Stegostoma tigrinum: one gene and its partners. The protein of the gene in region 3 interacts with the protein of the main gene of each other region in a biochemical or structural test. Links are inferred from orthologs where the notes say so. Each region holds a gene or a part of one and is shown on either strand. Other genes may lie near its edges.

Region 1 (3,753 bases), on a different chromosome or scaffold from region 3:
TATAGGCAGAGAATTAAACAACATCGGGGAGACAGGCATAACTGGATGGCTAGACAAGAGACAGACTTCAGACAAAATACACAACAAAAAATGCTAATTTTTTTTAAAAAATCTATAAAAAGGAAAGGAAATAACCATAAATGTAAGAGAGCTGTAAAGGTAGAGGGTGTAAAACACAGAAAGAAAGCTATAAACATGAGGAAAGGAGCAGAGAAAGTAAAAGACATTGCTGTGATACAGTGACTTGGAAAAGAGACTGGATGCATTTTCCATGTGTCAGCAACTGGGCAACTCTATGGGGACTCTATGTAAAATGCAACACAGTGATGAGCTGGAGAATAAATATAGCAGGGAAGATCGTATTGCCGAGGACTAGAAAAAAACAAGAAGAAGCTACTTCAATTCCAGCTGAGCAAGAGTTGGAAGGGTAGCTCAAACAGAAATGCCGGCACGCAGAAGCTCCAGTTCAAATGGAGAAATGGTGTCTGCACTGACAGCTTCCAAACAGGGGAACTCTATCTCCGAACAAATCGGGGTGAAACACTCTGTCAAATACAAATACAAGGGTAAATTTACATCCAACGCGCTCTCATCTTCTGCTGGGTTAAACCAACTGCTGCAAATTAAATGAAACATAATGATTACTGAAAGGTATCTATATCTGACCATCCTGAGCTGCTGTTGAGATATATATAATTATTCTCTGTGATATTCCATAAATCACTGGTTTATTCTGTTTCGCTCGAGCAACATTCGCTCAGTTGGCTCGATCTCCAATCTCTCTAGATTCGATCAGTTTGTGGACGCACTTCAGCTTTTGTTTTGTAATCAGAACGTAAAGAATCGTTTCTGTTTTGAACTAGAACAAGAAATAAACAGTACAGTGCCTCAGGGAGAGGACAGGGACTAATTCTCAGATCCCGTTCTGAGGAAGGGTCAGTGGCCCCGAAACATTAACTCTGATTCCTCTCCACAGATGCTGCCAGACCTGCTGAGATTTTCAAACAATTTCTGTTTTTGTCTCCTGCCCAGCAAGTTCACCGCTCCCATATCCAGAACATCACCGCACCTCGCTCCCAGCTGCAGAAAATTCCAGCTTCCATACGTCTCCCTCAACGCTGTATCAGATTCCTAGCTATTGCTTTTCAAATTGTAACAATAAATGAAAAGTCGGTCTTACCCTCAGCTTTCAGGAGTTGCACAAAAGCAGCTACTGCACGGAGTCTCTGACCTGGTCAGAGATAATCAGTTTGTCCTGCTCTCTTCGTCCTCCTCCTTCATTCCCAGGGCAGCAGGAACCGCTTCAAACAAGCAGAAAGATCGCCTTCCCGGATTGCAGGAGAACTCCCACTGTTCTCGGCGTCGCCACGCGGCTCTGTCACTAAAGTGTCCCCGAAAATGGTCCAGATTCTCTCTGATCTGAATGCGATCTGTCTCTCCGTCTCTGTCCCTCTTCCTTTGTCTCTGTCACTCTCTCAAAGCCTCTGACTCAGTCTCTCTCCATTTCTGGCACACACTGTCTGTGCGTCTCTCTCAATCTCTGACTCTCTGTCTCTGACTCCCCCTCTCTCAGTCTGTGACTCCCGCTCTCTCAGTCTCTGTCCCCCCTCTCTCTCTGACTCCCTCTCTCTGTCTCTGTCCCTCTCTCTCAAGCTCTGTCTCCCCCCTCTCTCTCTCTGTCCTTCTCAATCTCTGTCCCCCCTCTCTGTCCCTGTCCCCCTCTCTCTCAACCTTTGACTTCGTCTCTCTGTCTCTGTCCCTCGCTCTCAGTCTCTGACTTCCTCTCTCTGTCTCTGTCCCTCCCTTTCAATCTCTGTCCCTGTCCCTGTCTCTGTCCCTCTCTCTCAATCTCTGTCCCTCTCTCTCTCAATCTCTGACTCACGCTCTCTGTCTCTGTCCCTCTCTCTCAATCTCTGACTCCCTCTCTCTGTCCCTCTCTCTCAGTCTCTGACTCCCCCTCTCTCAGTCTCTGTCCCTCTCTCTCAATCTCTGTTCCTCTCTCTCTGTCTCTCTCCTCGTCTCTCAATGTCTGTCCCTCTCTCTGAGTCTCTGTACCCACTCTCGGCCTCTGACTCCCTCTCTCTGTCTCTGTCCGCCTCTCTGTCCCCCTCTCCCTCGGTCTCTGACTCCCTCTCTCTCGGTCTCTGACTCCCTCTCTCAATCTCTCTCCACCTCTCTAAATCTCTGACCCTCTCTCGGTCTCTGTCCCCCTTCTCTCGGTCTCTGTCCCCCCGCCTCTCGGTTTCTGTCCGCCCCCTCTCGGTTTCTGTCCCCCCTCTCTCGGTTTCTGTCCCCCTTCTCTCGGTCTCTGTCCCCCCCTCTCTCGGTCTCTGTCCCCCCCTCTCTCGGTCTCTGTCTTCCCTTCTCTCGGTTTCTGTCCCCCCTTCTCTCGGTTTCTGTCCCCCCTTCTCTCGGTCTCTGTTCCCCCCTTCTCTCGGTTTCTGTCCCCCCTTCTCTCGGTCTCTGTCTCCCCTTCTCTCGGTTTCTGTCCCCCCTTCTCTCGGTCTCTGTCCCTCTCTCTGTCTTTGTTCCTCTCTATCTCTGACTACTCCCTCTCTGTCTTTGACCCCTCTCTCTGTTTCTGACTCTCACACAGTCTCTGTCCCTCTCTGACTGACCCTCACTGCGCTTCTCCCCGACTCTGTCCCTCTCTGCTCTGATTCTCACTCAATCTTTCTCCGTTGCGGCCCCCCTTCTCTTACCCTCTTTGTATCTCTCTCCGCCTCTGCCCACCCCCGCCTTCGTCTATCACTGACCATACTCTGTAGCTTCCTGCCCTGACCACCCCTCTCCGTCTCTCTCCCTCTTTCCCTCCGGCTCTGTGTCTGACCGTCACTCTGTATGCCTCTCTGTCCCTCTCCTCCTCCCTCATTCGCCCAATCGCTCCGGTGCACTGGATCAATCAGAATTTGCTCGGTCTTGTGCGAAATTCAGAGCGAGCGACCCCTCCCGATTCCGGGGCGGGGGGTGGGACTGGGACTGTGGTGCTAACAGCCGGCTGCGGTAAGAGGCTGTTGTCCGGGGACACCGGGGAGCTTTTTCAACTTTCACTTTGGTAACTCATGTCACATCCAGTCACGGAGTTTATTCCGTGTGAAAAGCAAACTTTGTCATTTCATCTGATTTCTTTATCAAATTGGATCCCTTTTGAGCGCGGGCCATTGATCAGAGCAAACCGCAGTAGCTCGCTCTAAGTTATCACATTCCTGAGTTTCTCTTTTAGGTTACCGTTAACTCTCTCGGTCTAAAATCAAACAATCCTTGTTTCCATACAATTGAAGTCCTTCAAATAAATGTCACGGTGCAGAAAGATGCCATTCGGCCCAACTTGTCCCTGTTGGTTTTCTGGCTATTTTAATGTATTGTCGCTCTCCCACTTTTCTCCATAATTGTGCGCATTGTTTCAATTTAAATCAGCCAATGCCTTCCCGAATACCTTAATTTTATCTGTTTTTTACCATTTTTAAATCATTCACAGGACATGGACATCACAGAGGGTGGTGTGTGTATGGAGTGAGCTGCCAGAGGAGGTGGTAGAGACGGGTACAATTACAACATTTAAAAGGCACCTGGGTGGGTACATGAGTCTGAAGGGTTTAGACAGATATTGGACAAATGCTGGCAAGTTGGACTAGACATATTTACGATATCTAATTGGCATGGACAAGTTGGATTGAAAGATCTGTTTACCGACTGTACAATTCTGAATCCACACCAACTCTCTAAGGAGGACCTAATACACTGACTTCCTAC
Region 2 (3,753 bases), on a different chromosome or scaffold from region 3:
GGAGAATAAGTCAGCACAGAATGAGGCCGTTCAACCCATCTGCCGGCCGTATGCACGAGCCAGCCTCCCTTTTATTTTTCCACGCAGCGTTACAAATGCGAGCTCCTCCATTATTTAGACACTCCCCACTTTTTTTAAGTTATTAAACAAAACGCCAGTAGTCCAGTTTTATTTAACAACATTTTTTTCTCTCTCTCTCATGGTCCTACCAGAATTTACCAACTTGGCAGCACGACCTGAAATGGACAGACATCCACTGGCCACTCTGTTCGACGTTAAAACACTGGAAGAACTCTCCAATGTCTACACGTATAATGTGGTTAGTACAGAAATGTTGGCTCGTTCGTACCCAATTTCCGTCATTCCGCGCCTTTCTATTCCGTTACCTGGTGGGTTATTTCCAGCATATGTGCCATCCAATCGTGAGGGTTGGAGATCTGGAATTTAAAAAGGTCCGACAGGAGAGCGCAGGGCAGCGAGGGCTTTTCAATAAGCTCTTGACCTTTAAAGTGGTTCAAGGAAGATGCTCCAGGACAGTTCAGGAGCGTGTGAAGCAGATCGAAGGAGCTGGTTATAGACACCTGATCGGAGACAAGCAGCCCTGCTGGCTCTAAGCTTGTTCAATTCTAAGCGACTTTGCAGAACATCTGAGTTCCTGTCTGAGGCATTCAGTGATTAGGAGAGCGAGAGAGGCATTGGTTGCAGACTGGATTCTCTCTCTGTGTGTGTGTGTGTTGGGAGGGGAGTCTCAGATCTGCATGTACTCCCCTCCTCAAACAAACTGTCGAATCAGTAGATCGTAGTGCGTATGAGTCACCAAAGAACACAAGCATTACATGTGGAACACACAGCCTCTTAGCTCCAACAGATGTAACCCGATCCATTCATCAGCCATTATACAGATTCAAATGTGGCACTTAACCCATGAGTCTTCACCGACTGAGTGAATATTAAAAGTGAGCAAGAGTGCATGTTAATTGACTGAGATCTTCCCAAACCGTCGAATTTTCCATCTGAAACAGAACTACAGACGCATGTTCCGCTGGTCACAAACTCAGGAGCAGTGCTCCGTGGTCATCTCGCCTCCTTTCAGGGATGGGTTCTCTTCCTTGCTCGCCCCCTCTCCGGTCTTCCTCTTCACACTTCCAGTCACTTCTCGGCTCGTTCCCCAATTCTGGGCAAAACCATGTCTTCTGTTCCAAAGCACACAGAGGCCGAAAGGTAACGTTGATATTTGGAGGGGGTCAGTGACAGCCGGTACTGAGTGCCTGTATAGTTAACTAGACGGGTAAATCAGCTTCTCTCCTCCCTAGGACGATTCACTTCTATACTAATGCAGTCCATAGACTGACGATTGTTTAACAGGGGGTGTCTCAGTTTGAAAGTAACATGTCCCGGAACCTGTAAGGCCGATGAAATAGTCATGAAAATATAGTCATTGTTGTAGACTTCTATATTAACCTAATGTTTCTCTTTTACACGCCCGATTTTAAATGGGACGCAGCTTCACTGTACGCGAGTGTTATAAAACGCTGGAATGCCACTAAATAGCAACGAGGTTTGATGTTCCTGTGTCCGTTGCGCTTTGTATTTTAAAAGCCTATTAACATTTAGAAACTGCGCCATCAGTTAATTTTTAAAAGAATAAAGGCGCAGTACGATTGGAAAACTTTCCTAAGTCACATTCCACGTTACAGAGAATGAGGTTTTATCCTCCTGTAAAATAAAATGCAAAAAATAAAGGAAATGATGAACGAGGTTCACCAACAACATAAAAACCCGGGGTATAGCCAACTCGCGTATTCCTGAAGACGGGCAGGATGATTTGATATCATTAGTATGGCTCCGCTGTGTGGAACGAGAAACACCAATTTGTCCTGGGATCGTTTGCAAAGTGGAACAGGTCAGTGTCTCAGCACGATCAATAGCTCCCTCTGGCGACACAGCAATGAGTACAGGCCACACAGAGGCGTAGACTGGAACAGGTCTGCCACAAACGGGAGGGCTAGCGATAGGGTTTGCTGTGTGGGCGCGAGCAAGACCATTATCGATTGCACATCCCTAGTTGCCCTTGTGAATGCGTTGGGGGTGGGGGGGGGGGTGGTCTTGAACTAAAGAAAACCCAAAGAACTGCGGATGCTGCAAGTCAGTTCTTCTTGAACTGTTGCGAAGGCGCTTTCACAATGTTAATAGCTGGGGAGTTCCACATGGAGCGATGGATTAAAATCTGAGCAAACCATGTTATGTAACCTGGAAAGGAACTATGGAATTGTAGTGTCCCCAACCTTTTGCTCCGTCTGTCCTTGCAGGTGCTGAAAAAAGGGGTGTGGAATGTACTGTTGAGGAATCCTGGATAAAGTTATACAGCATATCCTTGCCGCCACCATATGCTGGGATTGGAGGGCGTGGAGGCTGTGATTGCAATGTTAATTAGTAAACTGTTTCGTCCCAGTTAAAGTCAGTACTACCCAGACCAAAAAGTGTTATTTGTATTTATAAAGTGATTCATCACATTTCATAGGTGAGCTAATGTGAAGTGTGGTGACATTCCTACCTTCTCAAGAATAGGACAACAAAGATAGCGACAATACATCTGGTATCTGGGAGACAATGAGCTAATTACTGGGAAGTCTAAAGTCGCTGCCTTTCTTTCATCCAACAAATGCCATTCCTTCACCATCTCCAACCCTAACAACTGACTTGAGCTGAGCCAGATTTTCATCTTGCGTTTGGTCCTGAGACCACCTATCAATCACATATCCATCCTGTAATGAAACCTCTTTCCACCTCTGCAGTACCTAATTCTGCTCCAGCCTCAGTGCCTCTGTTGCTGAAACAATCACCTTCTGACTTTGTTAACTCCGAACATGATTATGTCATTGCTCTTCTGGCCAGCCTGTCAGCTATCACCTGCCTCAAACTGTTTTAATCTCATCCAAAACTTTGCTGGCCCTTTCTGAACTTGTTCAATGCTCCAGTCATCCATCACTTGAGGACTTGCTGTCATGTGCAGATGGAGGATTGACAGTGCCTTGCTTTCAAACACCTTATCTTCCTTTTCAAGTTCCTCCACGGCTTCACACGTACTCATCCTGAATCTCTATCTGCCCCACAATCTTCCAAGATGTCCATGCTGACAGAATTCTATCCTTTTGGTTGTCCTGGACTTTAACCAAAGCCTCTGCATTCACTTGCACTGAGCCTAAACCCTGAAAATCCCTCTGTAACTGTCTCAACACCTCACTTTCCCTTTTGTCCTTTAAGATCCTTTAAATCTAATTTCCTAAAGCCTACCCCCTTGAGTATAAGGTATCAGAATGACCAAGGCTTTGGTTATCAGTTATCAAAAATATATTGGTTAATAATACAATTGCTAAGCACCATGGGACATTTTGCTACATTGAAGGCACCATCTAAATGCATATGGTTGTTAGGTAGGCAAACAGGACGAGCATTTCTAAACAAAAACAGGATGAATGGCCAATTTGAAGTGAGGATTGATTACACACTTTAAGGTTGCTGTGTTATGAACTGTATGATTTGGGCCAGTCTTGTTGATTATTAGCACTTGACTTCCTAATGTTGTACGGAGTAATTATGCTGCAACAATTAATCTGTTAGTTTATTATATGTCAATATTATACAGGATGCAGCACACAATATATTGGTGTCTGCTCCTCACCTTGCTGAGACATTATTGTAAAGCTTTCTCACCTGTGCCAGTCTCTAAAATGCTCCTTTATAATCTGCCAC
Region 3 (3,753 bases):
TCGGGCCTAGACCTTTCATCAGAGAGGGGGATGGGGAGAGGGAACTGGAATAAATATAATTTGAAGTCAGGATGGTGTTTCCATGCACTGCTACTTTCTAGGTTGTAGACGCTGAGGTTTTGTAAAGTACTGAAGAAGTTGCTTTAGCTTATTTTGTAGCTAGTACATACTGTTATCACTGCCCACGACTGGTGGAGGGTGTGAATATTTAACATTGTGGATAGAGTGCTGATTAAGCAGTTTTCACTGAGCTGGATGTTGCTGAAGATCTTGAGTGTTATTGGCGCTGCACTCATCCAGGAAAGTGGGCTGCATTTCAATATACTCCCACTTTGTGCACGGCAAATGTCGGGACAGAATGTGGGAGTCAGGTGATGAGGAAATTACCACAGAATTTCAGGCCTCTGACCTACACCCAGGAGCCACTGTATTTATATGGCTGGACAAGTTAAATCTTTGGAATTTGTTAATTAAAAATAACTAAATATTACCATTTGGGACATGGGTGTTGTTGCCTGAATTGCCTATTCCTAGTTGCTCTTGAGAAGATGGGTGTGAGCTGCCTTCTCGAACTGCTGCAGCCCATGTGCTATTAGCAGATCCACAATGCCGTTGAGAGGCTGTTGCTTGACTAATTCAAGAGACAACTTTGCCAATTTTCCCACTAATCCCCAGAAGTTAGCAAAAAGGACTTTGTAGGGTTGGCAGAGCTGAATTTGCCCATTGTCATTTCCAGTGTCTGGGTTCATGCCCGGTGATCTTTCCAGTTTCATTCCTTTATTGAGAGCTTCTAGCAGTTGGTACAACAGAACGGCTTGCGGGGCCATCAGATGGCAGTTAACAGTCAATCACATGTATGCCAGACCAGGTGAACTATGGCAATATTCTTAACTAAAAGATGTTTGTTAACATGTTAGGTTTTTGCACACCAACAATGGTCTTATGATCATTAGATGATTATTTTGCATTAAAATTTCACTAGCTGCCACGGTGGGATTTGAATCTTGTTACCCAGAACATTATCTGGATTCCTAGTTCAGTAACTATACCACTTGGCCACCACATTATCGTCAATCAATGGTCTGCTCCTTAACCAGTGTGCATATTACTCTTTCTTTTGATTTTAGAACCAATCTGTTCAGAAATGTTATGAAACTCCCCTACAGCAGACAGGACATGACCCAGGCCTCCTGGCTCACAGATAGGGAAACTACCACAATAACACTTACGCTACTTTTTCGAAAACTTGTAATAAGTTGGTTAAACGTTATTTTCCTTTTTAGACAACTATAAGAAATTTTGCTATTCAGTTCTATACATTGATATTAATATAGTCAGTATCAGAAAGGGATTGATCTAAACAGGTATTTCTATTGAGATATTAATGTTACTGTTTTGACATCAGTATAAGATTGATACCATGGAGGTGGATCTCTGTTGAGATATGATCAGTAATATACTGATCCCCAGTATATTAAAGGTTTATCATATACGGGCTAATCCAATTCTTTATTGAGATACTAATAATAGTTACTGCATTGATCCTCAGCAAGAGCAGAATTCAACGTGATCTCTAGTGAGCTATTTAATTAGCATATTGACCCTCAGAGAGTGGAGTGATCCAATTTGGAGAGAAGGTCTTTTATTTTAAATTCACTGACAGGATGTAGTCATCTTTGACTAAGCCAGCATTTACAGCCAAAAAGACTTTAGTGAACCAGATGAATTTTTCTGATGACTGCCAATGGTTTCATGGTCATCATTAGACCCTTAATTCAGGAGTTTATTTTTTCTCTGTGGTGCAATATTCAGTAAAAGGATAATCTAATGAGGGATTTCTATTAAGATATTAACAGTGACTTATGGGCCCGCAGCAAAGGTCTGATGCAATGAGAGATCTCTATAGAAACTGACACGAAGGAGATGGATGGACAATGCAAGGGGGTCTCAATTGCCATAGTAACATCACTATATTGATCCTCAGAGGCTGACCTAATGGACAAGATTATATTGAGATACAGTATTGATACTAGTGTACTGACTCACAGTATGGGGCTGATCCAATGTGGTGGACGGGGGCTATTGAGATATTCACACTAATCTGCAGATCCTCAGTAAGGGAGACGGGGTGGGCGGGGTTCTCTATTCCCACAGCAAACATTCAACCCCTGGGCTCACCTCCAGTTTATGGTTGATCTGGAAGACAGTCTGCGCCTTGTGACAAAGCTGCGCGAAGCAGGAGCTGAGCGCCGTCATCTTCTGGCGGCCCTCGTAGGTGATCTCGGACTGGTCGGGGTCGATCTCCCCCAGGAGCAGGTCCACATCCACGAAGGCCTTGTCAAACTCCTTCTCCAGCACCTCCAGCCAGCGGAACATGGAAGGGCCGGCTGCCGCTGCCGGCGGAGCCCCGGCCGAGGAGGCCATAGTTGACGCTGCAGGACGGGAGAGAAGGGAGCAGATGGCGGTTGGGGACTCCGACCCGCAGCCCTGTACCGTGTGCCCGGAGTTTCGTCTCTTTCTTCCTCTTCTTCCTCCTCCTCCTCCTCCGTGGACCGCGGCGCCGCCTCCGGTTCCGGTTGTCAAGGAGCCCACTCTCGATTGCTCGCGCCTGCCACAACAGTAGAAGGCCGAGCGAGTGGAGCGAGGAACGGTCGTTCGAACCGTCACCATGGAGAAAGGGGGCAGAGCCAGAACGCGCGGCAGAAACCCCGCCCACGGCCCGCACGCGCACCCACTCACACACACCCCCGCCGCCCCGCAACAGCAACAACTTGAATTTATATGGCGCCTTGAACACAACTCGCCTCTTCCTGTTGTACAGTGTAAAATATGACGAAGCGCCCCGTCCAGGAGCTTTTGAACCAAAACTTAGAAGTGCAACAGAACACTGCGGATGCACAAGATCTGAAACCAAAGCAGAAATTGCTGAAGAAACTCACCAGGGCTGGCAGCATCTGTGGAGAGAAAGCGACATCTGATCTATTACTGAGTTTCTTCTTCAATTTCTTATTTTGAACGAAAACATTGGCCAGAAGTCGCTTCCAAGGCGCATTTCGAAGAAGAGAAATGAGGTGGGAAGGCAGAGAATTTTATGGAATATTTTCAGAAATTGGGACTAAATTGCTAGTGCAGCCACTGGTGGTGGAGTGTTTAATGTCTGGGAATCTGAATTGGAAGAAGTCAGGTGATCAGAGGACAAGTCAGAGTACAGAAAGGAGATAGAGGGCTTGGTGATTTGGTGCATTGAAAACAACCTCTCACTCAACTTCAGCAAAACTAAAGAACTGATCATTGATTTCAGAAAGAAGGATGAAGAACACGCCCCCATCTCCATCAGCAGAGCTGAGGTTGAGAGGATGAGGCTGTCAAGTTTCTAGGAGTGACAATAACCGACAACCTGTCCTAGATATCCCACATAAATGCAACAGTCAGGGAGGCACAGTAAAGCCTCTCCTTCCTCAGCCAGTCAGGAAATTTGACATGTTCACAAGGTCTCTTATAAGCTCCTCCTTCAGGCAGAAGATACAGTAGCTTGTACACACACCAGCAAGTTCAAGAACAGCTTCTTCCCTGCCATTATTAGACTGATGAATGGACTCTCTAACTTCAAATAATGCTGCTTTGCTAATGTTGATCTTGACCCTAGCACACACCCTGTGCAATGCAACTTGTATGAATCTGTCTAGTTTTGTTTTTCTCCCTACAATCTGTATGTCCTTGCTTACTATGATCTGCCTGTACTGCTCATAAACA

Evidence for each region.
Region 1: the proteins of gopc (region 3) and corticotropin-releasing factor receptor 1-like form a complex in vitro, tested with the Homo sapiens proteins (2 studies listed by BioGRID and IntAct, with this or other methods). The link is inferred for Stegostoma tigrinum from reciprocal best matches to the Homo sapiens genes GOPC and CRHR1.
Region 2: the proteins of gopc (region 3) and somatostatin receptor type 5-like form a complex in vitro, tested with the Homo sapiens proteins (2 studies listed by BioGRID and IntAct, with this or other methods). The link is inferred for Stegostoma tigrinum from reciprocal best matches to the Homo sapiens genes GOPC and SSTR5.

What each region holds. Positions count from the first base shown.
Region 1 is NC_081384.1:41,196,384-41,200,136, reverse strand, and holds the start of corticotropin-releasing factor receptor 1-like, read right to left. Parts: upstream 2,196-3,753; 5' UTR 1,181-2,195; intron 1-1,180.
Region 2 is NC_081376.1:15,254,595-15,258,347, forward strand, and holds the start of somatostatin receptor type 5-like, read right to left. Parts: upstream 2,370-3,753; 5' UTR 2,286-2,369; intron 1,402-2,285; 5' UTR 417-1,401; coding exon 387-416; intron 1-386.
Region 3 is NC_081357.1:61,386,312-61,390,064, forward strand, and holds the start of gopc (Golgi-associated PDZ and coiled-coil motif-containing protein), read right to left. Parts: upstream 2,673-3,753; 5' UTR 2,671-2,672; coding exon 2,179-2,670; intron 1-2,178.